7 linked regions of the Nothobranchius furzeri genome follow. The protein of the gene in region 1 interacts with the protein of each later gene in a biochemical or structural test. Links are inferred from orthologs where the notes say so. Each region holds a gene or a part of one and is shown in the gene's direction. Other genes may lie near its edges. The genes, in order: snta1, adrb1, adra1d, kcna4, gda, abcc4 and gucy1a2.

What was found.
Region 2: the proteins of snta1 (region 1) and adrb1 interact in a test that uses a peptide from one of them, tested with the Homo sapiens proteins (2 studies listed by BioGRID and IntAct). The link is inferred for Nothobranchius furzeri from reciprocal best matches to the Homo sapiens genes SNTA1 and ADRB1.
Region 3: the proteins of snta1 (region 1) and adra1d interact in a test that uses a peptide from one of them, tested with the Homo sapiens proteins (2 studies listed by BioGRID and IntAct). The link is inferred for Nothobranchius furzeri from reciprocal best matches to the Homo sapiens genes SNTA1 and ADRA1D.
Region 4: the proteins of snta1 (region 1) and kcna4 interact in a test that uses a peptide from one of them, tested with the Homo sapiens proteins (2 studies listed by BioGRID and IntAct). The link is inferred for Nothobranchius furzeri from reciprocal best matches to the Homo sapiens genes SNTA1 and KCNA4.
Region 5: the proteins of snta1 (region 1) and gda interact in a test that uses a peptide from one of them, tested with the Homo sapiens proteins (2 studies listed by BioGRID and IntAct). The link is inferred for Nothobranchius furzeri from reciprocal best matches to the Homo sapiens genes SNTA1 and GDA.
Region 6: the proteins of snta1 (region 1) and abcc4 form a complex in vitro, tested with the Homo sapiens proteins (2 studies listed by BioGRID and IntAct, with this or other methods). The link is inferred for Nothobranchius furzeri from reciprocal best matches to the Homo sapiens genes SNTA1 and ABCC4.
Region 7: the proteins of snta1 (region 1) and gucy1a2 interact in a test that uses a peptide from one of them, tested with the Homo sapiens proteins (3 studies listed by BioGRID and IntAct, with this or other methods). The link is inferred for Nothobranchius furzeri from reciprocal best matches to the Homo sapiens genes SNTA1 and GUCY1A2.

What each region holds. Positions count from the first base shown.
Region 1 is NC_091743.1:60,389,355-60,392,854, forward strand, and holds part of snta1 (alpha-1-syntrophin), read left to right. Parts: intron 1-3,252; coding exon 3,253-3,438; intron 3,439-3,500. UniProt on the Homo sapiens protein: Adapter protein that binds to and probably organizes the subcellular localization of a variety of membrane proteins. May link various receptors to the actin cytoskeleton and the extracellular matrix via the dystrophin glycoprotein complex.
Region 2 is NC_091756.1:38,265,707-38,269,930, reverse strand, and holds adrb1 (beta-1 adrenergic receptor), read left to right. Parts: upstream 1-1,424; 5' UTR 1,425-2,132; coding exon 2,133-3,500; 3' UTR 3,501-3,956; downstream 3,957-4,224. UniProt on the Homo sapiens protein: Beta-adrenergic receptors mediate the catecholamine-induced activation of adenylate cyclase through the action of G proteins. This receptor binds epinephrine and norepinephrine with approximately equal affinity.
Region 3 is NC_091746.1:78,324,893-78,329,122, reverse strand, and holds the start of adra1d (alpha-1A adrenergic receptor), read left to right. Parts: upstream 1-1,430; 5' UTR 1,431-1,600; coding exon 1,601-2,552; intron 2,553-4,230. UniProt on the Homo sapiens protein: This alpha-adrenergic receptor mediates its effect through the influx of extracellular calcium.
Region 4 is NC_091749.1:47,038,238-47,042,374, reverse strand, and holds kcna4 (potassium voltage-gated channel subfamily A member 1), read left to right. Parts: upstream 1-1,337; 5' UTR 1,338-1,525; coding exon 1,526-3,595; 3' UTR 3,596-3,742; downstream 3,743-4,137. UniProt on the Homo sapiens protein: Voltage-gated potassium channel that mediates transmembrane potassium transport in excitable membranes. Forms tetrameric potassium-selective channels through which potassium ions pass in accordance with their electrochemical gradient.
Region 5 is NC_091757.1:40,758,581-40,762,683, reverse strand, and holds the start of gda (guanine deaminase), read left to right. Parts: upstream 1-1,303; 5' UTR 1,304-1,360; coding exon 1,361-1,489; intron 1,490-2,038; coding exon 2,039-2,127; intron 2,128-2,254; coding exon 2,255-2,426; intron 2,427-2,740; coding exon 2,741-2,828; intron 2,829-4,103. UniProt on the Homo sapiens protein: Catalyzes the hydrolytic deamination of guanine, producing xanthine and ammonia.
Region 6 is NC_091754.1:57,249,940-57,253,439, forward strand, and holds part of abcc4 (ATP-binding cassette sub-family C member 4), read left to right. Parts: intron 1-1,744; coding exon 1,745-1,865; intron 1,866-1,947; coding exon 1,948-2,172; intron 2,173-2,246; coding exon 2,247-2,336; intron 2,337-3,500. UniProt on the Homo sapiens protein: ATP-dependent transporter of the ATP-binding cassette (ABC) family that actively extrudes physiological compounds and xenobiotics from cells.
Region 7 is NC_091753.1:35,474,315-35,478,355, reverse strand, and holds the start of gucy1a2 (guanylate cyclase soluble subunit alpha-2), read left to right. Parts: upstream 1-1,241; 5' UTR 1,242-4,041. UniProt on the Homo sapiens protein: Has guanylyl cyclase on binding to the beta-1 subunit. Isoform 2 acts as a negative regulator of guanylyl cyclase activity as it forms non-functional heterodimers with the beta subunits.

The sequences.
Region 1 (3,500 bases):
TACCCTGGCTACGACTCCAATCTGCAATATAGTCCTTCGCAGGAGACTTAAAGTCTGCTACCACACCTTTAATCTATGCAGCTGTCTGCTTATCTGACTGCTATTCATTCCAGCAAGACAAGGACATTTAAAGATTTAAAAGAATCATTTAAATAAACTCTCTTTACTGCTAACCATCAAGGTTCATTATAACTGTGTTTAATTACTGAAATGAATTATTATTCTTTGGTTAATAATTGTGATAATCAGTAATGCGTAACTATGACAAGAATCATGTGCACTTAGTCAGCTCACACAGGTCACAGTAACTATGTTAAAGGTAACTGCACTCACATGATCTTTTCCCATAACACCAGAACTTTCTATCTTCAGAGAGGCATGTTTCTGAGGGTTTGTTAAATCTTCCTTCTACATGTCAAAACCTGATTCGTTACAAATGATAATAGCCATCTTTTAAAACAGAACTCTCGTCATTTGCGAGTGAGTTCTAGAGAAGGTTGGGACGGCCGCCCACACTCTCTTTAACCAACAAAGCAATTTCTGTCACGCTGAGTTGCTCCGACACAACAAACGACACCTGCAGAACAATCTGATGCTACGAGATTCCTTAAGAATCTGCAGACGCAAACAAATTCCACCTGTGTGCCTGCGGCATCTCTAGGACCGGAACGAGTCCTACCCAGTCTCTCAGCCTCTCCAGTAGCAGGTGATGGTCAACAGTGTCAAAGGCTGCAGTCAGGTCCAGCAGGACCAGAACAGAACAGTCCCCTGCATCACTGAGAGTCAGAAGGTCATTAGAGACCCTAAGAAGAGCTGTTTCGGTAGAATGAGCTCTACGAAAACCTGACTGGACGCTATCATAGATGTTATGTTCATCAAGAGCAGCTGTGAGTTGTTTAGCCACAACCTTTTCCAAGATCTTAGAGATGAACGGAAGTTTAGAGATGGGTCTGAAGCTGCTGTGGAGAGAGGGGTTGAGACTCGGTTTTTTAAGAAGCGGGTGGATTACAGCATTCTTAAAGTAAGCAGGGACCTGACCAGAGACCAGAGAAGCATTAATTATAGAGAGCACGCTGGGACCGATGGACAGAAAAGCACTTTTAAACAAAGATGAGGGTAAGTTGTCGAGGGGGCATGCAGAGGTCTTCATAGAGTTAACTAGTTTGGTTAACTCAGGCAAAGAAACCGGAGCAAAGCTATCTAGGATGATGGGCCTGGTTGGAGTCGGGAGAGGCAGCAATAAGGCTGAAGGAGAGATGCTCGATCTAACCTTATTGACTTTGTCCACAAAGAAAGACAGAAAGTTCTCACAGTCTGCAACAGAGTGGATGGAGGCTGTAGGTTTGGCAGGAGAGACAATGCTGCTGATGGTGTTAAACAGCACCTTGGGGTTCCCTTTGCTCTGGGACACCAGGTTGGAAAAATAGGAAACCCTAGCATCTCTGACTGCAGAGTTAAAGGATGTCAGAAGATCCTTTAGGTGCAGCAGATGGACGTGGAGATGGGTTTTCTTTCACAAGCGCTCAATTTTTCTGCATTGGCACTTCAGGCTGCGAAGGCTGTCATTAAACCAGGGAGTAGGGTTCACTACAGGAACTGATCTGGTTCCGACAGGACAGATATTGTCCAGAATAGAGAGGCAGTGCTTGTTTAACTGAGAAGTTAAGGAATCTGGGTCGTTATCAGAAGAACAGGGTGGATCAAAAGCAGCAGAAAAAATTTTAGCTGTGCTCTCATTAAGAAAACGAGAACTAACCATACGGCGAGCAGGAGGTGGGGATGCAGAAACTGAAGAGTTAGGAAATGCAATGGTAATCTGAAATATAAACGTCCTCAGGACAAACACTGTCAGCATTTAGACCCAGTGTAAAAACAAGGTCCAGTGTTCCCCCTGGTGTGTGTGGGGCTAGAAACATGCTGGGTAAAGCTGAAGGAGTCCATAAGGCTGGAGAAATTCATAGCAAATTGGTCTGAAGGATCATCAACGTGGATGTTAAAGTCACCCACAATCACCAGTCTGGACAACTTCACAGTGGAGGCTAGAAAGTCACTAAACTCCTAAAGGAAAGAACTGTTTGGACCAGGTTGACGATAGACCACAGCACAGTAGAACAGATCTTTATGCCCGACTTTAATCAGCTGCAGTTCAAAGGAAGCAAAGTGATCAGAGGTTGTAGAGCTACATGGAAGATGGTCTCTGAAAACAACAGCTAGGCCTCCACCATGACTAGAACCCCAGGGCTGGCTAAGAAAAGAATAACCACTCGGGCAGAGTTCAATCAGACCAGAATAATCAGAAGTTTGCTGCTAAACTTCAGTCAAAAACAGAAAATCCAGGTTTTTAGAGAGAATTAAATCATTGAGAAGGAAGGACTTATTGTTAACAGAGCTGGTATTTAATAGAGCCATGCTGAGTGAGGTGGTGGAATCAGAAACTACAGAAACAGCTGGAGTTAGTGGACGTAAATTAGCAGGGTTAGATCCACGGTGTTTATAAAAACCACTTATGGAGGGAACAGGAGGAGAAACCACTGCGGAATGAGGATAAAGCTTTCCTTCTACTTTCTGAAACATGAGAGTGTTTCTTTCTCAGAGAATGACTCACAGGGCATTTATTCATTCATCGTCAATGTTTACATAGAATTAAATAAAACTCAACTTTATTAAATTATAAAAAAAGATCAGCACTGGCTGATGTGTAATCATAACATAAATGAGAACATTTTCAGAACAAAAGAATAAGTGGAAGTGCTGAATGAAAACCCACACAGAGAATCAACAGTAAATATTTCTCATTTAAAAAGTATCCTAATAAAATGAGATCCATGAAGGTAAATCAAAGGAAAAACCCCCAAAGGTACAACTTGGTTAGATGGTTTTTGATTTTTTTTAACAAATTTGTATTTTTAATACCTTGAATTGCTTAACTGATGGCATTTTGTGCAGAGTGGAAGCCCTTAGCAAACCGCAGAAACATTAACTCACTCTCTGACCTTCATTTAATGATTTAAAGGGAGGGAGAGGATGCAACAGAAACCTCTAGAAATTACTACAGAAGAGTAATTGCTGCTGTCTGTGTCTCTTTAATTGAACCTTTAACTGCAGTGCATATGAAGGAGAGCAGTGTGAAGGTAAAGGTAAAAAAAAAGTATGATTAGGTGAGAAATTCTGACACTGTTAAATAACCGCAGCAATTAAATAACCACTGAAACAAACCTGTTTTTTTTTCCTTTTCCTTTTTTGGCCCTACAGGAGGAAAGGAAAACAAGATGCCCATCCTCATCTCCAAAATTTTTAAAGGCCTGGCTGCTGACCAGACTGAGGCGCTTTATGTTGGCGATGCCATATTGTCTGTCAACAGTAATGATTTACGGGAGGCCACACACGATGAGGCTGTGCAAGCGCTAAAAAAAACTGGCAAAGAAGTCATTCTTGAAGGTAAGATATTTTTCATTCCGAGAGAAACAAACTGGATGAACTTGGTGGCTCTGCTTCTAATA
Region 2 (4,224 bases), on another chromosome or scaffold:
TCATACAATGGAAGATGTTTCATGGCTATTCTCACACTCCGATACTCAAAAGGAACGATTGGGATTCTGCAGGATTTTGGAAACATGGGAACTTTGCTGCGATTTGGAAGTTACAGCTGGGTAATAAAACAATTCTGGTTATCCACTCATTTTAGGAAGTCTATTAGTGTTTGCATGCTTTAGTGTTACATCCGTTGATTCTGCTTTTTGTAAAAAAAAATAAATAAATAAATACTTAAATTTAACAAATCAAAATAATAAGAGTCTTACATGTTTATAAGAAGATAAAATCACCTGTATAGTCATAGCGGCCTTTCTGCGTGGAGTTGTGTGTTCTCCCCATGCATGCGTGGGTTTCCTCCGGGTCCGGTTTCCCCCACAGATCACAACATGCCCTATAGGTTATAAACTGTAAGTCGCTTTGGATAAAAGCGTCTGCTAAATACATTAACATAATAAACGTAAAATGTGGCTCTTTGCATTTATTCAAGGAAAAATTAACAATATGTTGAAGGAACTTTCAGCCCTTTTCTCTGACTCCGTCACAAACACCAGAATCATTTGAGAAAACAAAACATAAGATTGAAATATTTTTAGGGTGTTTCACTTAAAAATCTTTCAGCTGACTACATAATATTTCAAACAGTCAAGAATAGAGCTGTTATTACTTCATTCTAAGCTTAATTTATTCTGTGCTCAGCTCACATGTATGTAAAAACTGTGTGTTTAAATGTTTTTCCAGAATCAGAAGTTGGTGTTACCCATGCATAACAACTTCATCACAAAGAGAAATATTTAATATTCCTCTCGGTGATGCATGAGTACCGTTCTTGGGTTATTTTCTCTGCTTCATCAGAAGTTTCTGCCTCTAATGGTGCAAATGAAGGGAAAACACTGAGAACAGGAAATGACTTAACCCTTTACTGGTTCCAAATGTGTGACGCTTAATTGTTCCACCAAAAAGCCAGCAGGGAAAAACATCATAATCAAAAGGCTTTGCTTCAGCCTCCACACTTCAAGGTCAAAAAAGAAAAAAATAAAAGCATCCTGCTGCTCATAAAGGTCAAGGGGGAATGTTGACTTCTCTTCGTTGTGTTGGGTCGGGTTGTGTTGCAGCCTCAGCTGTGGGGTCGCTGGGTTCATGGGCGGGAGCGTAAATCGTCCACATAAAAACAAACAAAGTTTTGTTGTTTTCCATTTTTGTGCAGACTGTTTGTCATGAGGCCGGTGGAAATTTACACATCTGATGTGGACTAAGGTGTACAATCACTCAGAGCTCAAAGGTTATGGTCCATATTGACATGACAGCATCACACAGCTGCATGATGGGAGTCTCCTGTTCCACCACATCCCACATGTTCTGGACTGAGATCTGACTGTGGACATGGTTGGAGTCCAGTGAACTCATGGTCATGAAACCAGATGATCTTCGTGACATGGTGCTTTATCCTGCTGAAAGTGTAGCATGGGTTAGGGTCCACGTGGTCATGGATGGACATGGTAGTCTGTGGTGTTTAAACCAGGCTCAGGTGGCACTGGGGGTCCAGAGTGGGACAAGAACATCTCCCCCACACCATTGTACCACGCTGCAGCAATGATACAAGACAGGACGGATCCAGGTAGTTCACATATTCTCTCATTAACATTAATTAAACAGCTGAGCAGGTGCAGAGTGACCAGTTTATTTAAAACAAACTCAAGTGGGACAGTGGTGAGTCTTTACATTGATGCATTTAATAAAATCTGGTTGTGAGCCAAACGCTTCTTTATGCAGCTGTGAGGCCAGTCTGCAGGTCTGTGTTGGGTCAAGTCTCATGTTTAAGGAATGTATTCTCAGAGATAAAAATATAAGGAGAAAAACAAGTTCTGGACGTGATAGCAAGTGGTGACAGGAGGGAATTCCCTCTGGACCATTGTGATGTTTCCCATATTTGGTGCACCGTTTTCCCACAGTGTGGGGTTTTGCAGGATAAGAAATTCATGGGTCAATTTCTCATCAGAATATCGCGAATGTTCAGTAACTGTCCAGTGCATGCAAAATAAGACTGGAAGTCTGCTTTTCTCAGGTGCAGCTTGTTTCCTGATCCTCACCGCTGGGACCGCGGGTCCCCTGGACTTTCTGATTGGCCGTGATGAGCGGTGATGTCACCGCCTACCTCGCTGTCCAGGCCGGCGCGGTTTCGAGCGCAGATCCAGAGAGAGAAGCTAAAACACTCCGTGGAGTCGGCGCGCGATGGGATGAGAGCTGCGTGAACGCCGCACAGCGCTGCCTGGATGAGACCGAGCTGGTCCAGCTCACAGAGCAGCAGCCCGTCATGGGGAACGGTGGTGCGTTCTCACCGGTGAACCTCCACAATGGCACGGGGAGCGAGGCGCCGGGCTCCGCTTCACCTGCGTCGGAGCAGTGGATGGCGGGGATGAGCCTGGTGATGGGTCTGATCGTCGTGTCCATCGTGTTCGGGAATATCCTCGTGATCGTGGCCATAGCCAAGACGCAGAGGCTGCAGACGCTCACCAACGTGTTCATCGTGTCGCTGGCGAGCGCGGACCTCATCATGGGGCTGCTGGTGGTGCCATTTGGCGCCGCGCTTGAGGTGCGCGGCTCCTGGCTCTACGGCTCCTTTTTCTGTGAGTTCTGGATCTCCGTGGACGTGCTGTGCGTCACCGCCAGCATCGAGACCCTGTGCGTCATCGCCATAGACAGGTATGTGGCCATCACCTCACCTTTCCGCTACCAGAGCTTGTTAACCAAGGCTCGCGCAAAGGCGGTGGTGTGCGTGGTGTGGGCCATCTCTGCGCTGGTCTCCTTCCTGCCCATCCTGATGCACTGGTCCCGCGACAACGTGGACACAGCCTGCTACGAGAACCCGGAGTGCTGCGACTTTGTCACCAACCGGGCGTACGCCATCTCCTCATCCATCATATCTTTTTACATTCCTCTCCTGGTCATGATCTTCGTTTACGCACGGGTGTACAGAGAGGCCAAGCAGCAGCTGAGGAAGATCGACAAGTGCGAGGGCAGGTTTCACAACACCCTGACTGGACTCACCTCCAAGTGCAAGAAGAGGCCGTCCAAGATCCTGGCGCTGAGGGAGCAGAAGGCGCTCAAGACGCTGGGCATCATCATGGGGACTTTCACTCTGTGCTGGCTGCCCTTCTTCATAGTCAACGTGGTGCGGGTGTTCAGCGCAGAGGTGGTGGACAAGAACCTCTTCGTGTTCCTGAACTGGTTGGGGTACGTGAACTCGGCCTTTAACCCAATCATCTACTGCCGGAGTCCGGACTTCAGGAAGGCTTTCAAGAGGCTGCTGTGCTGCCCGAGACAAGCCGACCGCAGGCTGCACATCAGCTCCTGCGACCTGTCCCGCTGTTCCGGCGGGTTCGTGTCCGCGCTGGAGCCCGGGACCTTGGAGATGTGGTCGGACTGCGCCGTCCTGGACAACAGCGACAGCAGCCTGTTGGGGACAGCGAAACTGTCCCACTCAGAATCACAACTGTGAAGAAAATAAATAAAACCATCCAGATGGAGAGTTAAAAATATATACAAACAGGAAAGGATGCGCGTAAAATCCAAACCATTCGCTGTAAGTGGAGTTGTCTGTACAATCAGTTAAAGATCTTGGTCTTAATTCATCGATGCGATAAATCCAAAATCGAAGGTTTGCGCTCACAGAACACAAAGCGCTTTTTCCACAAAAGCGCACGAGCCTTAAGGTGATTTATTACTGCAGATGCGACTTTTTACTCCAGATCTGTCGACCAGGTGGCTATAATATTAAAAGAATCACGTTTTGCTGATACCTTTGTTCATAATGGGAAACAATGTGTTCCTAAAATGATCTCTGAGGCGCTCCAAAACGCGCATAACGTGGATGCCAATAAGCTCTTAATTACCTCACAGGCCGGTGCAATTTATACGGCAGGTACTTGTTTATATTAAACATAATGTAAAATAAGTGTTTTTATTTATTCGGTGCGTTCTTTTACAACATAACCAAGTGAGGGGTCAATAATTGCGCATTTTGTGGTGTGGAATGAGGAATCTCGAGCCTCTGTCTGTCTCCGGCTTTACCAGCTGTTTTAAGGTGGTGCTTTGACGTCTGTGAAAATAAAAATAACCTTTGATTGCTTAGTTCTGTTCGAGCTGTATTTCCTGTGAGTGGTTTTATATTAGAACCTGATCCACAGGCTTTTGCTCCATGGTAATTTCTTATTTTTTACATA
Region 3 (4,230 bases), on another chromosome or scaffold:
TATACATGTTTTTTTGTCCTTAAACGTAAAAGTAAAGAGCTGAGTAATCTGTTTTTATGAAAGGCAGCGACAGTAAGGGACTTGTGAGGTTATGATGCAGTTGTAGAGTGATCTGGCAAGCAGCCATGAGGTCAAAGAACCTTTCCCACTCAAGTGGTTGATCCTCCCAAAAGATAAGTGACTAATACTTCAAAATAAAAGTCTTTGATTAAAACAGCAAGGTCTGAAGCAGAACATGTGACTGAGCTGGGCTTAAATAGACAGGGAAGTGCAAACAAAGACAATGGAAACAGGTGAGATGATTGCAAATGAAAAGGGCCAACAGGTGTGACTAATTAACTGAGAAATAGGAGGCAAAACACAACACAAGATGTAAATAACAACACAAAACGATAAAACAACAACTAGAACAGAATGATACTAAACTAAAGGCTGAAAGAAATAAACTAAACAGGGAAGCTAAACGAGGATAAATGCTCTGAGAACTGAAGCCCAAAAATAATAATTAATGAAGTGAACTAATAAAACAGAAAATAGAAAATAATCGAGAAACTAAGCAACTAAAGATGCAAGTGAAACTAATGCAGGGAATCCAGGAGAAATCGAGAGATAAATATTGATAAACTGACAAACCTAATAGAAGCTAAAGTAAAAATTAAGACTTAACTGGGGAAAACAGAATAGAACACAATAAAACAAAAACATGCCAACTGAAACTAAAAGGCTGGGAGAAATAAACAAAACACGTGAATCCAAAAAGTCAAAATCTTTGAAAGGGGAAAACACAGAATAAGGACCGGGGACTGGGGAGACTGTAAAAGGGAATGAAGGTGTAGCGTGATGAATTGTCCATCACGTAAGCGGGGGGGGGGGGGGGGTGGGGGTGGGGGTGGGGGGACGGACAGGCCCGTCCTTAGAGCACACAAAACCTGGAGATGGCAGCCACATCTGCGTCTGGGCACTCCAGCTATATCCCTGGATGTCAGAGCAGACTTGTTGGGTAGGTTGGAGGATATGAGTGATTCTGTCTCCTGAGATTTCAAGGATGGAGCCCAGATTCATTGTTTGCCCTTCTTTGTCTTTTTGTGATATTTGCAATGAATGTATGATAAATACTATTCAAATATACCTCAGAAAAAAGGCAGAGCATAAAAAAATGACTGGCCATATGAAGCTCCTGTTGTTTGGGAGGCTGCGAACGCAACAAGCGCCACATGAATGTGGGTGGAGCTGGAGGTTCAGACCTGCTGTAGCAGCTCTGGCTGTGATCAGAGTTGTTCCAAAGGATGTCACCATGCAGAAGAAAAACGCGCTATAATGGACCTAAATGCGCTTCCGGTTGGGGCTGTTCATTAATCCACTAAGCCAGGATTTAAAACAAATTTACAGGAAAAGGACGGATCTGAAGGCGCGTGCGGGTGGATGTTTTTGTTATTATTTGTTTTGAGTTGAATTCTTTTATGTTTTGTTAGCTGTTTATTCTGATGAAAGCCGCCAGGTTGCGTTTCTGAGACCAACGCGGAGCGAGGCAGAGCGCAGCGCCCATCAGCCAGTTTTCCTGCGAATAAAACTTCCTCTAAAGTTCTCTTTATGGCGCAAAATGACAGACTCTAATTTGAGGAATGAAAGCAACTATGGGCTGTCTCCTGAAGCGTTCAACGACTCTGTTCTGGACCGCTTGTTTCAACGTGACAACATCACATGTCAGAACTTCACCGTGGACTCGCAGGCTGTCGGCGTCGGGATCTTCCTCTCTGCTTTCATCCTGGTGGCGATCGTTGGGAATATTTTGGTCATCCTGTCCGTGGTGTGCAACAAGCAACTGCAGAACATCACCAACTTCTTCATCATTAACCTGGCCATGGCGGACCTGCTGCTGAGCATCATCGTGCTGCCCTTTTCCGCGTCTTTAGAGGTGCTGGGCTGCTGGGTGTTCGGCAGGGTGTTCTGCAACATCTGGGCAGCTGTGGACGTGCTCTGCTGCACCGCCTCCATCCTCAGCCTCTGCATCATCTCCATCGACCGCTACATCGGGGTGAAATACTGCCTCAAGTACCCGAGCATCATGACAGAGAGAAGGGCAGTGGCTATTCTGGTGCTGGTGTGGGTCTCATCCGTGGTGATCTCTGTGGGACCGCTGCTGGGATGGAAGGAACCCCCGCCTGTGGACGAGAGCATCTGCAGGATCACAGAGGAGCCCGGATACGCGCTCTTCTCCTCGCTCTTCTCCTTTTACCTCCCGCTCATGGTTATCCTCATCATGTACTTTCGGGTGTACGTGGTGGCCCGCAGGACCACGAAGAGCCTGGAAGCGGGCGTCAAACGGGAGAGGACTAAGTCTGTGGAAGTTGTGCTCCGGATTCACTGCCGCAGCGTGCTGGAGGACGCGCGTCCGGCCAGCTCCAAGAGCAGCAAAAACCACCCATTCCGAAGTTCGCTCTCAGTGCGGCTCATGAAGTTCTCCCGGGAGAAAAAGGCTGCTAAAACTCTCGCCATCGTGGTGGGGATGTTCATCCTCTGCTGGCTGCCCTTCTTCTTCTTCTTGCCATTAGGTATGTTCATAGTTTCACGGGTTTTTCCATAAAATGGAAATCTTTGCGACCATCTATGGGGCGCCGATTGTGAAAGTAAAGGTTCTAATTAAAATCTAAACGTTTTGACTAAAGTCTAAGAGGTATATAAAAGAACGCATATGTGCTTAGAATCAACATATGCTGTTCAATATTTATATTTAGAATCATTCAAGCGCATTGTTGTAAATTTAATTATCAATTGCCTGCTGGTGATTGTGGAGGGACCTCGCTTGCCTCTGTCAGTGAGCCCCAGGGCAGCTGTGCCTACAATGCAGCTCATCACCACCAGGGTGTGAATTTGTGTGTGAATGGGTGAACGACTGATTGTGTTGTAAAGTGCCTTGGGGGGTTCCAGGACTCTAGAAAGCACTATGTCAAAAACAGGCCATTTACTATATTTACTATAGACAACCAACACATTCGTGTTGATGTAGAATGAAATCAAATTGAATAATCAAATCATTGTTCATTTTGACATTGTGAGCCCACCGCAGGGCACAAACTTTACTTGAGACAAAAGTAATCAGTAAGTGTGAGGTGATCTTTATGCTACACAGAAACCCAAATCAACACACAAAAAAATGGTGGTGATGGTGAACATTCTGCTCAGCTTTATGGTTGACTCTGAACCAGGAAATAAAGCTACAGAACAACCAGTGAAACCGCCCCCAGCAATCAACGGCAAACGGTTCCAAGGCCCGACTCGGCCCTTGGAACCACAGAGAAGCAGGGACCAAAAAGTAGAGGGAAAGTAGGGAGAAAACAAATCCTTGAAATGAAATGAAATGAAAAATGAGTCCAGACCGAATCGCTTCTCCCGACGCAGGTTGAGGTGTGGCACCGGAAAAAGCCTCATTCACAGTTTTTGAAGGAACTGGGCTGGTAGGTTGTTCCATACACCTTGGGGGACTAATCACAGATCTTCAGTGGATGTAGGCATCCTCACATCCTTCAGTTTCTTCATGCAGTCCTAGAAACACTCCATGATGTTGAGATCAGGGCTCTGTGGGGGCCAGACCAACACTTCCGGGACGTCTTGTTCTTCTTGATTCTGAAGATAGTTCTTAATGACTGTGGCTATATGTTTAGGGTCACTTGCTTTGTATTTTGTACATTACTAAAAATAAACAAGTATTTTTTAAGGATGCTCTTTAAACATCTTTTATATGTTCATTCTGTGTATTTCTTCTAACTGCATTACTTGGTTCTTTTAGGAATGCTCGATACTGGCTTGTTTACTTCTATCCGATATGCCAATGTTATCAACTCTTAATTTCCATTATCGAAATATACAGAGATCCCTCTCATAAAAAAGAAAATCTAAAACATTTAAGGTTACTGACATCACATATCTCCTCTCATGCTTACATCTTTTACATTTTCTGTGCAAAATGAGAACTACTTCAGTTTATGTTAGGAAAAATGGCATTTTTAATTAGCCTCCATCAGCAGCTGAATCTCATTCTCCCTAAGTGGGCTGCTAAGATGTGTGTATTAGTCAGTAATGTATGTTTTACTTATATTGCACAGTAATAAAACATTTGTAAAGATCTTGAGATGAGAAAAGCAACGCTTGATTGTTATAGTTAGTCACCACAGGACAAAATTCTACTTTACAAGTTGTGCCAAATACACTAAAACATTTAAACAACTTTAT
Region 4 (4,137 bases), on another chromosome or scaffold:
GTTGAGGAAAAAAAGTCAGTTTGGCACCATGGAGGCATGCTGAAGGGCAGATAATTGTGGATGAGAGACTGCAGCAGGTACGCAGTACCGGCTGCGTCCACTGGGGGAGGACCGAGCGCCGCCTGCGCGCTGCAGTACACGACACACACACACACACACACACACACACACACACACACACACACACACACACACACACACACACACACACACACACACACACAATGGGAGGGATACAGGAGATAGGTAGAGCTAAAGCGGCAGACAGACAGATGTGTGATGCTCAGACTGAGGCCGTTCCTTTCCGCCCGAACCAAGGTAAACTTTTACCCACCCTCGTTTTCTTCTGCTCGCGGTCGCGTGGAGCCATCGTAGATGCCAACTCGCTGCGTGAACACCTGATTCCCCAGAAGCGGTGCCGCAGAAATTGAGGCTCAAGTGCCAACAGATCCTGTTGAATTGAGACAACACGTCGACATGCACGCAGCCGGAAAAAGTGCCCTCCTCAGAGTGCGTCAGAGCACGGATGCATATGCTGGATGTGGATATGGTCGCCCGTTGGAGACGGAGACGGATTTGTGATTATCACGCCTCACAATCAAGACGAAGGTTTGAGCGCAGAAGAAAATCTGTATCCTCGCCTCCTCATCATCTTCCAACAAATGTGTTTTTAGGAGGGCTGAGGCTCTTTTGGCCCTTTACGGATGTAAGTATGGATGTCAGGATGAAATAATGGTGCTTAGTGAGAGGATTTCGTGCGAAACGTGTTTTGTTAATGCCGTCCAAGCATTAATATTAATAATAATAATAATAATAATAATAATAATAATAATAATAATAATAATAATAATAAGCGTGTGAAGTTTCGTAATATGCACAGCGATCATTAATATTAACACGTCCCTTTCTCTCGTGTTGTTGTCTAAATCCTATCCTCTCCTTTTCTCGCAGCTTCTGAGAGGAAAAGTCATTCGGATTCATCGGAGCTCCAGAATAAAGCGGAGATCCATCCAAATGAAACACAAATATAGATCTCACCTCATAAAATGGCAACCACGGGTGACCACGGAGGATTAAAGGACGCGTTTGAGCGCAAACCCTCGGTCGTGGGGGAATGAGCCACCTGATGGCCACCAGAGAAACGGAGGAGAGACTGTTTTGGTGTCGCTTGTTGACTCGGTGATTTATGAACACATAAAGCGGCGCTGCAAGTTTGACAGAGCGTCTGCGTAACAGGCTATGCCACTGGCCCTTGGATTTGTATTATCCTTATGTTTATATTTTGCTTCTAATGATGTCATAAAATCTTGGGTGCTCGAGCCACGACCATTATCTTCTATCATGTAAGAAGCTACCCAATATGGACCTTTCTGAGGAGTGTTTGTTGTTCTCACTTTCTCTTATTCCCGGGAACGGTTGATGCCTCGTGCCCTCGCGTCTCTGCGCGCGCCGAACTGCAACTTTTCTCCCCTGCTCTGCATCCACACCTTGTCGTGGCGCTTACTGCGCCGCTGATCGACTGAAAATGGAATTTGCGATGGTGGGTGCGGACGGAGGGTGCAACAGTCACCTGCCTTACGGATATGCCCAAGCTCGCGCACGGGAAAGGGAGCGCGAGAGGGAGCGCCAGGCTGCCCAGTCGCGAGCGGCGGCTGCAGCGGCCGCGGCCGAAGGATGCTCTGGTGCGGAGGGAGGAGGAGGAGGAGGAGGAGGTGGTGGAGGCGGTGGTGTAGGGGGGTCCACCTCCACCGCCTCCTCGAGCGCTCATCTCCTTAACAATCGCCAGCATCAGTCTCGCGCCGCCTCCTCCTCCGCGAACATCAGCAGCAGCGCCGCCTCGCGCCCCTCCTCCTCCTCCTCCCAGCATCAGCAGGAACCCGAGCAGCAGCACAGAGTTCTCAGAGAGCGGAAAAAGCAGCGCGGCGTCGGACGGTGGAGGCGCAACCGGAGCACTCTCGGCGGGGACCTGCGCCACTCGGAGCTGGCGCTGCTCGGATCCGAGGAGGACATCATGATAGAGGAGGAGGAGGAGGAGGCCGAGGGAGCGGAGGAAGAGGAGGAGGAAGAAGGGGAGGCGGCAGAGGGGGTTCGAGGCAGCAAAAGGTCGAGTTTTCTGTGCAACATGGATGATGAGGAGACGGTGTCGATCACCGACCGGCGCCCTCAGTCCGGCTACGAGAACGTTTACAGCGAGTGCGGCTGCTGCGAGCGGGTGGTCATCAACGTGTCGGGGCTGAAGTTTGAAACTCAGCTCAAGACTCTCACTCAGTTCCCAGACACCTTGCTGGGAGACCCCGACAAGCGCATCAGGTACTTCGACCCGCTGAGGAACGAATACTTCTTCGATCGAAACCGGCCGAGCTTCGATGCCATCCTGTACTACTACCAGTCAGGGGGGCGCTTAAAAAGACCCGTGAACGTGCCGTTTGACATCTTCTCAGAGGAGGTGAAGTTTTACGAACTCGGCGAGGAGGCGATCCTCAAGTTTCGGGAAGATGAGGGTTTTGTGAAAGAGGAGGAAAAGCCTCTGCCGGAGGACGAGTTCAAGCGCCAGATCTGGCTGCTGTTCGAGTATCCGGAGAGCTCGAGTCCTGCCCGGGGCATCGCGGTGGTGTCCGTCCTGGTCATCGTCATCTCTATTGTCATTTTCTGCCTGGAGACGCTGCCAGAGTTCAGGGATGAAAAAGAGTACCTGCAGCCACGACACAACTCTTCTCAGCCGGACCACGGCTTCACACCCTTCAACGACCCGTTCTTCATCGTGGAGACGGTCTGCATCATCTGGTTCTCCTTTGAGATTATAGTGCGCTTCTTTGCAAGTCCGAGCAAAACAGCTTTCTTTAAAAACATTATGAACACGATAGACATTGTATCCATTTTGCCTTACTTCATAACTCTTGGCACGGATCTGGCGCAGCACCAGGGCAACGGGCAGCACACCATGAGCTTCGCCATCCTGAGAATAATCCGCCTGGTTCGGGTGTTCCGCATCTTCAAGCTGTCCAGACACTCCAAGGGGCTGCAGATCCTGGGTCACACGCTGCGCGCCAGCATGAGGGAGCTGGCTCTGCTCATCTTCTTCCTGGTCATCGGCGTAATCCTGTTCTCCAGCGCGGTGTACTTCGCTGAGGCGGACGAACCCACCTCTCAGTTCACGAGCATCCCCGACGCGTTCTGGTGGGCCGTGGTTACCATGACGACGGTTGGCTACGGTGACATGAAGCCCATCACTGTTGGTGGGAAGATAGTTGGTTCGCTGTGCGCGATCGCGGGCGTGTTAACCATCGCGCTGCCGGTGCCTGTCATAGTGTCCAATTTTAACTACTTTTACCACCGAGAGACGGATAACGACGACCAGCCGCCCGCCGTGGTGGAGAGCATGCCCCCGGGATGCCCTTATTTCCCTGACTTTCTAAGAAAATTCAAAGGTTCACCCTCTGGCTCATCGCTGGGTGACAAAGCGGAGTACATGGAGATGGAGGAAGGGGTGACGGAGTCGCTGTGCGGGCTGGACAAGAGCCCCAGTAAAGGAAACGGCACAGACATAAGCAGGAAAAACAGTACTAACTCTAAATCCATTCAGACTGACGTGTGATTACAGTAGTTTATTATTATTAGTGGTATTGTTTTGTTTTCCAAAGAAGAAAAGCATCTTGTAGAGACACTTTCTGCTCAACAGCAGCGGAATCCCCTCCCCAACCCTCCCCAAACACAGGCTTTACGCACGCGTCAGAGTGCACACAGACACACACAGATTTACGCACACACATACACTCACACATAAACACGAAACTAATTGGCAAGCTCAAAAGTTTTCTCTTGACACAATCATAATCTATAATTTATCTAATTTATTGGTAAATATATTAATTTATTCTGTGCGGGCTTCCAAATCTGACAGATCTAAATTAGAAACAGGCTATGCATTCGCACTTTATGAGTTTCATCTGTCACACCAGAGGGTTAGGGACGATCTTTTTGCTGTTATGCAATACAGTTTAAAACATGTTTGCACTAATGTAGAATTTGCGCTGGGTTTGGCAGATTTCTATGTAGAGACAGAAACTGTAGGCCATGCAGGCAACACGGTAGGCACCTTCTGCTCAGCTGGAACACGAATGAGGATTTTAACACTCA
Region 5 (4,103 bases), on another chromosome or scaffold:
GTTGATTAGATAATTGCATTAAGGAGAAGTTGAACAGGCGTTTCTAATAATCCTTCAGGTGAATGTACATATGTCAAGACATGGTTTTATTCTTTTATTACGGTTTTAATGTTATATAATTGCCGAATAAAATTAAAAAAAAACTTGCTATAAAGTTGTTTTATTAGCATTAGCTAATACAAATAATTTTTAAAACTAGATTTATAATTATCTCATGTTTCAGGCATGCCACATCCATAAATGTTACTGTTTCATTCATAAACAGAAATAAGCTTTAATCCATGTCATGGTCATAAAACCAAAAATTATTCTGTTTTATTTTTCATTTGGTTATTGGTGTGTGTGTGCGTGCGTGCGTGTTTACATTATTAATATAATTTTAAAGTGAAAGTACAATTCTGACTAGTAAAAGCTTTGAACACTTTTGGGTAGTAAAACGATAGATTCCTGTAGGGTACATATCCCTTTGTACTGGGCTTATTTGTTGCAATATATTTTTTAATTAGTTAAATCTAAAAAAAAAAACGATAACACCTCGGTGTTTTGAAACACAACAATATTAAACATCAAAATCACCAATTTAGCATCATTACATTAATCTAAAAGCATATTAAAAACAAAAGAAAATATCACAATTTCACCACAGGATTATATTAAATTATAAATAAATGTTAAGTAATAACATTATTTCTTTATTTTCCATGTTATTAAGCCTTATTTCAGTTGTTCTGACAGCCTTTTTTCTCATCCTGACCTGAGTCCATAAAATGTTTATTTTCTTGTATGATGTCATCTTAAAGAATTCATGTTTTCATCTGTCATGTGATCCTGATAAAATCAAGAACGAACTTTATCCGTTTTTTTTCATCATCGTGGCGTGTGTTAGTCATGGAGGTTCTCATCACTTTGAAACACTCATGACTGAAACATCATGTGTTTTTACACATGATGCTTAATAATAATCTTGTAATTTCAGTCATTAATGTTTTCTTGTTAACTCGTGAGTTTGTAAATAAGTTCTGGAAATAAAAACTGCTTATTTCATAAACAAAAAAAATTAATGGGCCTTAAAAATAAAAATGAACATGTTTTTTGATACAACATGAAGATTAGTGTAAAGCTGTGTTTTGGTTTTAAGCTGTTTTCATTTCATCTGTGAACTTGGCGTACCTTTTCTGCTCGCGCGCGCACACACACACACACACACACACACACACCTCACCCATCCTCTAATCTGATTGGCTGCGTACCGGCTCTGCGGTCAGGTGGAGGCGCCCTCTAGTGGACGGTGATCAGGAAGATAAAAGCCGCGTTTTATTGCAGCAGGTATCTCACCGCAACATATCACACTGCTGTAGTAATGGACTCCTCCGTCAGGTCCTGCTCCGCTGTTGCGTTTGTCTACAGGGGGACATTTGTCCACTCGACGCCTCAGACACCGCTCCAGATCCTAGAAGATGCGCTCCTGGGAGTGGACACCCGAGGAAAGGTTTGACAAACTCCTCTAATTTGATCGGGTTTATTTACAGTTTATGTTTTCTTTTTCAAATTGACAACTGAATAAATGATCTGATAAAACGAAGGCAATGAAAAGTTATAAACTTATAATATTTTATCTTGAGTTGTTTCCCGGTGACTTGATCATTTGCGCTTTTATTATAATAAATTCTCATTCAGCAATTTCCGTGAAACTATTCTTTACTAAAGAAAAACAATTTATTCATTATGTAACCCAGACAAACAGGTTAGTGTTATTATTTAACATAAAACATAAAAAGAAATGTTTTAATTTATATATATGATTTTCTTTATATGTGACAGTCCTTGTGACATTTATATATATCCACTTTAGACAAAAAAAAAACCTTCTTACATTTTTGTTAGGTGTTGTAAAATAAACCTATTGAATAAAATTATAACAGAATGCAGAAATACAGGAACTTTTTGGTAAATATCAATACAGGAAGAGGGTGAGGTTTTCTGGTTAAAAGCTTGACACATGTTATAAATACATCTAATTACCTCTTTCTGTCATCAGATTGCTTTTATTGACAAAGGAGGAGAGTTACAGGATTTGTCTCAGACCTTTGGATTCAGTCCATCTAAAGTCATCCAACTGGAGGATCAGTAAGAGAATGAATTATGACACACTAGACGGGTCAAGTCAGAGATTAACTTAATTAAATCCTTATGAGACAAATAAACACATTTACACACCTTTTTTTTTTGTTTTTGTTTTTTTGCTGTGTTACAGTGAGTTCTTCATGCCTGGGATGGTGGACACACACATTCATGCCTCCCAGTACAGCTATGCTGGCACAGCCCTAGACATGCCTTTGCTGCAGTGGCTCAACACCTACACCTTTCCTGTGGAGTCCCGTTTCAAGGACTTACAGTTTGCCCATAACGTCTACACACAAGTAGTGGTGAGCAGGATGCAGAATTTTTACCCCAAGTTCACAATTTAGTGACACCATTGGTTTAACCCTCCCACTGTCTTAATGGGTGTGACCCCACGAGGAAAGGTGGCCATTGAGCATGGTTGATGGTTTATCCCTTGGGTCCATGTGGCAGGGGGGAGGAGTGAGCACCACCTCACCCCTGCCACATGGACCTCAAGGGATAAACCATCAATCCTGCTCAATGGTCAACTTTCCTCGCGGGTCACCCATAAAGACAGTGGGAGGGTTAAAGTTTGAAATGAAGTGGTCTTCCTGTAATGTAAGCTTGTGTTTTACAGAAAAGAACCCTAAGAAATGGAACAACTACAGCCTGTTACTTTGCTACTATTCACACGGATTCTTCTCTTCTGCTGGGGAGGATTGCACGTACGAAGTTGCACACGCACACATGCACAGGGAAACACTGTAATTCAAATCAGCCTTTCAATGCAGAAAACAAGAATAACATTTCGTTAAACAGCATATTTGAGCTCATGATTCAGGATTGATTCACAGCAGAAAGCTGACTTTTCTCCTAATTTGCATGACTGCAGCATCTATACCCCACCTTTTCTTTTTTTTTAGCTAAACATACATTTTCCATTAAAATCAAGTTGATTGTTTTGGATGTTTTTTTTTTTTTTGCATAACTTCTCATCTTGCAGAACAAGAAAATCTATCCTCTTTAGCTGACTTAACACAAAAATGCTCTTTCTATTCATGGGATTATTCAATTCAATTCAAAAAATACTTTATTAATCCCAGAGGGAAATTGATGATGTCATGCCCGAAATCCTTTAGATCAGCAGATAAAAATGTGATCAAGCCGTCACATGTTTGGCTTGATTCTGAAAGAGGAACATATCAGATATTTGAGCTTTATTTTATTTTTACCAACTGTTCCTCTGGACTCAGCAGAAATGTGCTGAAAAGCAGAGCAGCCTTTTACCTTTATGCCTTGTTCTTATCATCTCACTGTCTTGTTGCATAACGCCGAACGCAGGCTCACATAAATGAGTAACGGTGAAAACGCGGAATCGTACATGAGGTTTTGCAGCCTCACTCGGTCATTTTATGTAATCGTGGTCACTGAACCCTTAACTTTGTACTGCCAGACATCCAGTAGCCTGCTCATTACATGGTTTATTAAAAACACAACAAGTCCACAGCTGATGTCAGCTGTTTGATGGCCTATCGGGTACTTAAGACGAGGTGGATTATTTATCCAATTTATGATTCAGACTGTGTCAACAAAACAATAAGCTAACTTAAAAACAGCTGTTGGTAGAGAAGTACTGTCATGAGTTAATAATTTACATACCAAAAGGGAAGTTTATTGGCAGCTTTATTGAAATCATAATTGTTTTTGTTTCTGACATCAAGGTTAAGCTGTTTATTTCCTATAAACCTGCATTTGAAACATTTGACTGTGTAATTTTCCAACATTGTTTTACAGTTTGTCATGATTATCTACAGAAGTATACAAATAAGTCCACATAACCCCACCATAGACCTGCTATAAATGCAACTAAAGACAAGCTCAAACAGAAAATGACAAGAAATGCAGCAGCAAACCTGTAATCTGGTTTGCTATGGGTCAGTTATCCTTCCTATAAATGAATAAAGTTGTAAACAAACATAAATGAAATGCTCATGTCACCC
Region 6 (3,500 bases), on another chromosome or scaffold:
CACTCCTTAACGAAAATAACAGCTGAGACAGTCAGCTCCATGTGTGTGTGTGTGTGTGTGTGTCTGTGGCCCGGAGGACAGATGACAGGAGAACGCGCAGCTAATTAATTAAATAATTTGGTTCTGTACCTTTCTCTTCAGCACAGCCGACAAAGGTTTATGATGGGTCAGTCCTCCTGCATGCTCAGATCATTCCCTTCCCTTGCTTGAAAATTTGCTCCAAAATAAAAGTTGAACCCACATCTTTTTTATCTGTGAATTCAATGCCGTTCGGCGAGTCTCAAATAAAAATTTGGGCATCCTACTGTAAAAAAATATACCATTAATGTAAAAAAGAAACTCTAAAATGTTCACACCCAGAATCAAACCCAGGTCTTCTGCATGGGAGTCAGACGTCTTACAAAGTGAGCTACACACCAGTAACACTCAATGTATCTGTAACATTTATATCCTTGACGACAGCTGAAACAACGTCAAACCAAAGAACGGTTCAAAGTGAAAATGGCTATTTTGTTGCTAATTTGCAGGAAATATCTAGAAGAAAGTTCTACAGAAAGTAGCTAAGGGTCCTCAGAAATGTAGCTAGCTTTGTCACTAGGCGTTAGGAACAGCGACAAAGTGGCACTGCCTCTCTCTCTGCTGCTAAAGCTACGGATAGCAAATGCTACGAGCTATGCCTGAGCGTGAACGCGCATGAAGCAGCCTGCTCGACCCGAGCATCTCTCTTTTTCTGTGATTTTACAGAAAAACAGGCAATCACAGTAAAAATGCCAGGGCTCATTCTACAGGACCAGGGCATTGCAGGAGAATGTGCAAGTGAGTCAGGCTTTAGCCACCAACACATATGGCTGTGTTCCAATTCACAGGCAGCATCCTTCTATGGACCGGCCCACATATGTTGGGTTCTTCCTCGACCGCTTCGTCTAGCCTTCATATTTATTCCTACGTCCTCGGCATATGTCCCGTTGCCTAGCAACTGTGACGGTGCTAAACAGAAGATAAGACTAAACTTTGTGTAAAAACACGAAGGACCCGGCATGCTAGCTAGTTTATTAGGATTTTTCTTATTTTTGACAAAAGAAGAAAACATGCAAACGAAGAGTCTTGACAACCCAACTGCTTTAGCTTTGTCCTCTTTGACCTCCAGATATTAACGTAGCAACACTGTGATCCTCCCCTGCTCCATTCACCATTAATGCTACAACAAAATTCACTCGTTCAGCCCGCATTGAATCCTGGGATAACCGTTGCCACGAGGATACTGTAGACCCGTCTTTAAGCCCATGTCAGTAAAACCCGATCAAACCCTTCTTACAGGTCAAGTGGAACAAGTGCTTAGCAGAAGCGCTGATGTGTGTAACCTCCTGAGACCCAAGCTTGTATTTGGTGTGATTCAAAAGGAAACACATATCTAGCTATCAAAAGTTTAAATAAAATAATGATTCCATTAAAATCTTGTCAAATTTCTTTACAAAAAAAAGAAAGACAACAAATAATTTTTAAAATTAAAGTCAACATCAAGTGTATAAATAACAACAACAAGGTCTAAGTTGAAGAGAATAAAATCTTATAGTGAAAGGAGCTAATGTCCACATCCATGGCCACAGGGCCCAAGGACTTGCCTGGATCCAACTCCTCTCACAGGGAATCCTTCTGTAATTATGCGTTTGCCGCGTCACGGGCAAGTCCTGACTCACCACATGTCCCACATAACCTGAGGAAAGGACATTTTTCTCCAAACCAGATACTGGGATCATGAGGTCCAGAATGCTGCCAAAGAGATGCGAGCACCGGCGCTGGGGAAAGTCATTATCCGCTGTTACTGGAAGTCCTACGGTGTGCTGGGAATCTTTACTCTGATAGAGGTTGGAGCTGTTGCTGGATCACCTTTAATGTTCTGAGTGGAGATTTTCATGCCCTGACCACCTTCTCCTCCTCTTACAACAGGAGACCATTAAAGTGGTCCAGCCAGTCTTCCTGGGTCAGATGATTCAGTACTTTGAGAGTTATGACCCAGATGATCAAACGGCTCTGCATGAGACGCTAGGCTACGCCGCTGGGATGGCCCTCTGCACCATGGGCCTGGCGGTGCTCCATCATCTCTACTTCTACAATGTTCAGAGGGCGGGCATGAAGATCAGAGTGGCCATGTGTCACATGATCTACAAGAAGGTGTGTGTGTGTGTGCGTGTGCATGCATGCATGCATGCCTTTGCACTGCTAATTCTCCCTTCTCTTTCCCAAAGGCTCTGAGCCTGAGCAGCTCAGCCATGGGAAAGACCACCACAGGCCAGATCGTCAACCTGCTCTCTAACGACGTCAACAGGTTTGATGAGGTACGGCAACCCGCAGAGTCCTCTATTCTGCTCGAGTATACCCGTGTTCATTTTGTTGACCAAATGTTTTTGTTTATTTTTTCATGAAAAATGAATTTTTGATGACAAAACAAAAACGATCACTTCTATTAAAAAATGATAACGGTATTTATCAAAAAGAACCAGTCGGAGTCCGGAGCTGGCTGCTGTTTGAACAATGTACTGTAACAGTTGAACAGTACATGTCTAAAAGGAAAAAATGTCCACGGGTGAGAGGAAACCATCTGGATAGTATTTGGTTGGTGAGTGCCCTCCTGGGGTTTCCCTGGTTTTAAAGGTGTTACGGTGGAAGCAGCGAGTGTAGATTTAAGATACCATCCTCCTTTATTTGTCCCACATGTGGGACATTTGCTAGGGGCTGGTGTCAGAAGCGAGCAAATCCTCATAGACTCCCATGTTAAAAATACCAATTTCACAGCAGAAATAAACATGTTTACAGCCTGGTACCAAAACATGTTTTTGGTTTAAATGATCTAGTTTACACTCATGACAACTCTGAGGGGGGTGATTTTTTTCTCACTCTTCTGTTTAAGTGTATTAAAAGCCTAAAATTCTGTATAATTAATGAGCATCAGACCCACGTGACCACAGTTAGCTCCGTGGAAAGGCCTCAGTAGAGCCTCGGTCTGGCCTGGAAACTGTTCCGGGATTTTGAGTCTCTGTGTTTGTGTATTCTTTTTTTGGATATTATTTGTGCAATTGTTGGATAAAATGACTTGCTGTGGCATTAATTGCACTAATAGAGCATCCAAGGAGTCTCCACTTCATTTTTTTCGGTAAGTAAAATTATATTTATGTATTTTAGGTCACTGCCGAGCTGAGCTTAGATTTTAACATGTACTGTTTAACCATGAAATTTAAATGTAATAGGGTTAAACCCAGTGCATTTAACATAATGCTGCACTTTAGAAAATGGGTTGAAATATAACATGTTGGTGGAGCTGGGTTCCGGCTATCGGCTTGTTGAGCTCTTCTCCCCTCCCCGCAGCTCGGCGCATCTCTGTCTGATCACAGCTTCTGTCTGCTGCGCGGGCTGCCGGCTTGTGGAGCTCTGGGATGGAAACCTTTCCACCCGGTTCTCCCCAGCGGCAGCTCTGCGCATCTCAGATCGCAGCGGCGCTTGTC
Region 7 (4,041 bases), on another chromosome or scaffold:
CTCCTTACTCTTGTCTCCCGTTTCTTTCCTCGTCTTGTCTTCTGTCTCCTTCCTCCCCTTGTCTCCTGTTTCCTTCCTCCCCTTGTCTCCTTTTTCCTTCCTCCTCTTGTCTCCTGTCTCCTTCCTCCTCTTGTCTCCTGTTTCCTTCCTCGTCTTGTCTCCTGTTTCCTTCCTCGTCTTGTTTCCTGTTTCCTTCCTCGTCTTGTCTCCCTTCTCCTTCCTCGTCTTGTCTCCCGTCTCCTTCCTCCTCTTGTCTCCTGTCTCCTTCCTCCTCTTGTCTCCTGTCTCCTTCCTCCTCTTGTCTCATGCCTCCTTCCTTCTCTTGTCTCCTGTCTCCTTCCTCCTCTTGTCTCATGCCTCCTTCCTTCTCTTGTCTTATGTCTCCTTCCTCCTCTTGTCTCATGCCTCCTTCCTTCTCTTGTCTTCTGTCTCCTTCCTCCTCTTGTCTCTTGTCTCCTGTTTCCTTCCTCCTCTTGTCTCCTGTTTCCTTCCTCCTCTTGTCTCCTGCTTCCTTCCTCATCTTATCTCCTGTCTCCTTCCTCCTCTTGACTCCTGGCTCCTTCCTCTTTTTGTTTCCTTGTTGGTCTCCTCTCGCCTTCAGAAAAACTGCTTTCTGGCCTTTATATTAGTAAATTAATTTACAATGTCATCAAAGTCCAGATTCCTGACAAGCTGAGATTCAATTGCCATCAGTGATGGTGCATTGAGGCGCTGTTGAGTTTGTGTTGTTCTCAGTTCATTTTTTATTCTTGCCATTTGTGAAAATCATTCCCCTTCACAATTTGTAACTGGTGGCAGGCATGTTGCAAGCTTTTCAAAAGTGTGGGGGATGTTGTCTGTGCCTAAAATAATTTTATGTTATTCATCTTGTTAGTTTAATTTCCATAATAGCTGAGCAGGTGTGAATTTTAGACGCGTCACGCATGTCTCCGTTTTAAACATGTTTAAACTGTTCAGAATACAAATCCGGGCTCTGTCTCATTAGATTGGTGCAACTAAAGTTTGTACTCAATGAAATTTTTACATTCAACCATGGTGAAAAGGTAAGAAAAAGATCCGATTAAATCGTTTTCCCCCCTCATTTACAGTCACGGAGTACAGCGCAGTGCGCATGGCTCTGGGGTTAATCAAGTTTAATAGTTTCTCTTTGAAAAAATCTTCACAAGAAGGCAAAACTGTTAAATGGCAGGTTACAGATATTTCCATTTGACTGTTTATTTTGACGGATAAACTCAAAAATGTTGGTTGTTATGAAAGAATTACCTCAATGCACACTGATGCGCACACAGATGAGCTGACATTTTAATCGTTACGCACATCTCGGGGGTAACTAAATAAATCAAGAAAAGATTCTCATCAGAACTTCAGTGCTTTACACTGGACACTGCTCAGCGCGGCTGGGAGCGAACACGGACAATGAGCTGAAGATCTGTAGAGGGGTTTGTAGTGCAGCGCAGAACCACAGTGATGCGGTAAGATTTCCTTCCACTGAAGCGGTCTGGAAATGCTGTCTCTCTGAGGGATGTGTCACCTGGAAAAATGTTCTCTGATTATGAAATTTTGGCTGAATAGCGCTTGTTCCCGTCTCCAATATGGGCACGCATGACACATCCAGTCTGTCTGAGGCAGAATAACCTCTTCAGCTCAGAAAGCACCTGTTGAGACATTTGATCATGCACAAAGTTTATGTGGAGCAGAAGCAGTCGGGCCACGGCAGGTGAAATGTTCCTAGCCTACATGAAGTGAAACTGTTTAGTTGTAACATTAATATGTTACTGGACACACTGGTCTGGTTGGTTAGACCAGTGTTTGAAGTGGAAAACACACACACACCAATTAAAATAATGGTGATAGCGTGGACTAGAAGCCAGGTGATGGTTTATGTATTTAAATGATGATCAGACTGCTGTAAAATGTAATCTGTTGCAACAAACAGACACCAGAAGTGAGGAACAGAAAATTAAATGACCCTTTCAATGTTTAGAGCAGCAGGAACTCTGAGAGGCTGCAGGCGCATCAGTGAGTTTGCGGCCGCTGTGCAGGGGGAGAGTGCTGAAGCAGGAACAGTTAAGATGCAAAAACTACCGTTGTTAAAATAAATTGTGTTAACTTAGAAAATGTGGGCGCAATTTTCATTACTTGTCAACATTTTTCTCCAACGTTAAGACTGCTGCACAAGAAAAAAAAAAGACTGCTGCTTGCGTGGGCCCTTTGTAGCTGTGGGCCCCTGGGCCTGTGCCCAGTTTGCCCATAATCCGGCCTTGCAGATCAGCACTAGAAGATTCTAGATGAGCAGAGACTAGTCATACACATTGGCTTGATAAGTAGATAAAAACATTTCACTATAACATTGAGTTGCTGGTAAGTTGTTGCTGGAATTGCTGGGAAAAAGTTGCTTGAGTAGCCAGCAATTTTTTTCTAGTTCACTGTTAGCATTGTTAGCTCAATGTTAGCCTCTAGCCTACTTCACCCGATAATAGAGTAAAACAATAAGAATACCATGCCTTTGTAGGTTTACAAAAAATAGCTTCTGGGCCCCTCCTTTGATTGGCCAACGTTCTTTCCACAATGCTGCCGCCTTTTCCTGGCTGGTGTCAAATTACAGATGCTAAAACTGGCTCTCGGAGCAGGAAGTATGGAGGCGGGACAGAAGGTAAAAAAAAATATAAAGGCTACATTTCTCTTCAGCTCTTGTTAGAAAAACTGGCAACCACCAGTCGATGAGAAGGACATCTATTTCAATGTAACCTTCCTTCCAACTGGATAGAGTCATTAGAAGGTTAAGTGGTTATTTCACCATAAACTTCTTACTTATTGCACCTTTAAACAACCAAAACCAGTTGACATAACTTGGTTAAGGGACTTTCACATTTAAATTCATATGTGTAATATCACACCAGGACCATCAGTTCTTTATTTTTAGTTTCTGAGTCAACTGTCAAATAATTTCCAAGATAAGTTATTAAAATTTGATGTCATCTCGATGATATATGTAGCTACTGAATGAAATTACTTTAAAACACCAAGAACAGCCCTTTATATCTTGTGGCCTGTCTGCGCTTGGCTATAAATGGCTGGCGGCCAGCTCCAGGCAGCCCCTCTGCTCGAAGGTTTATCTTCTTTGGAACATAATTTGTTTCATTGTAGCAGTGGCTTTATTAAATGCCCACATTATGACCGTAGGGCTGCGGACTGATTGGTAAGTGCAAGCAACCAGATAAGGAAAGAGAGGCAGAGCTTGTGCACAATGTGTGTGAGGGAAGAGCGTGTGTGGGCGTTTGTTAGATAGAGAGAAAGTCTGTGCAGTGGATTGGGGTCATGTTGCTCCTGAGAGTCAAATAAATTAACAAGAACCTTCAGGAAATTAACATAGGGATGTGTGCGTGCCCACATGCATGCACTTGCATGATGCATCATGTCTGTTTCAGTGTCTCTGTCGGTCCCATCGGGCTCCATAATTAACAGACATGCTGTGCCAATGGAGGTCAAGGTCATGGCTGTTATTAGTACCAGACAAGAGCATCATTCTGTCCTCTGATGGAGGCCAGTGAGCTTGTACTACCGCTGCAAGCTCCATTAACTGCCCTTGGAGCCATTTTTTGTCCTCATGTATGCTCACATCAGGCATCATGTCCCCATGGCCTGTTGACCATGACGTTTAACTATCATCACATTCAGCTGGATTTTTATTTAATTAAATTTTCTGTGAGATACAAGCATTATTTCATAAGGAATATTTGTCCAATCATTCCACATAACTTATTTTTAATTGTTTTTAAATGAAATTTCATTAAATGGCCAGTTTTGCTTATGACCCCTGTCATATACTGTAAAATCTGATTAGTTCACCTTACTTGGAAAAATCAGAGACCGTTAATAAAAGAAGTACATGGAAGTATGTTTTGGAGCTACAACTAAGACAAATTATACATAGAACTTGGAAAAAATGCTTACTGAACATGTATTTCTGAGTTGTATAAGCAGTGGTAAACAGGAGGCAAATGTACCTTTGGCATATAGCATTTAAGCACATTTCATTTT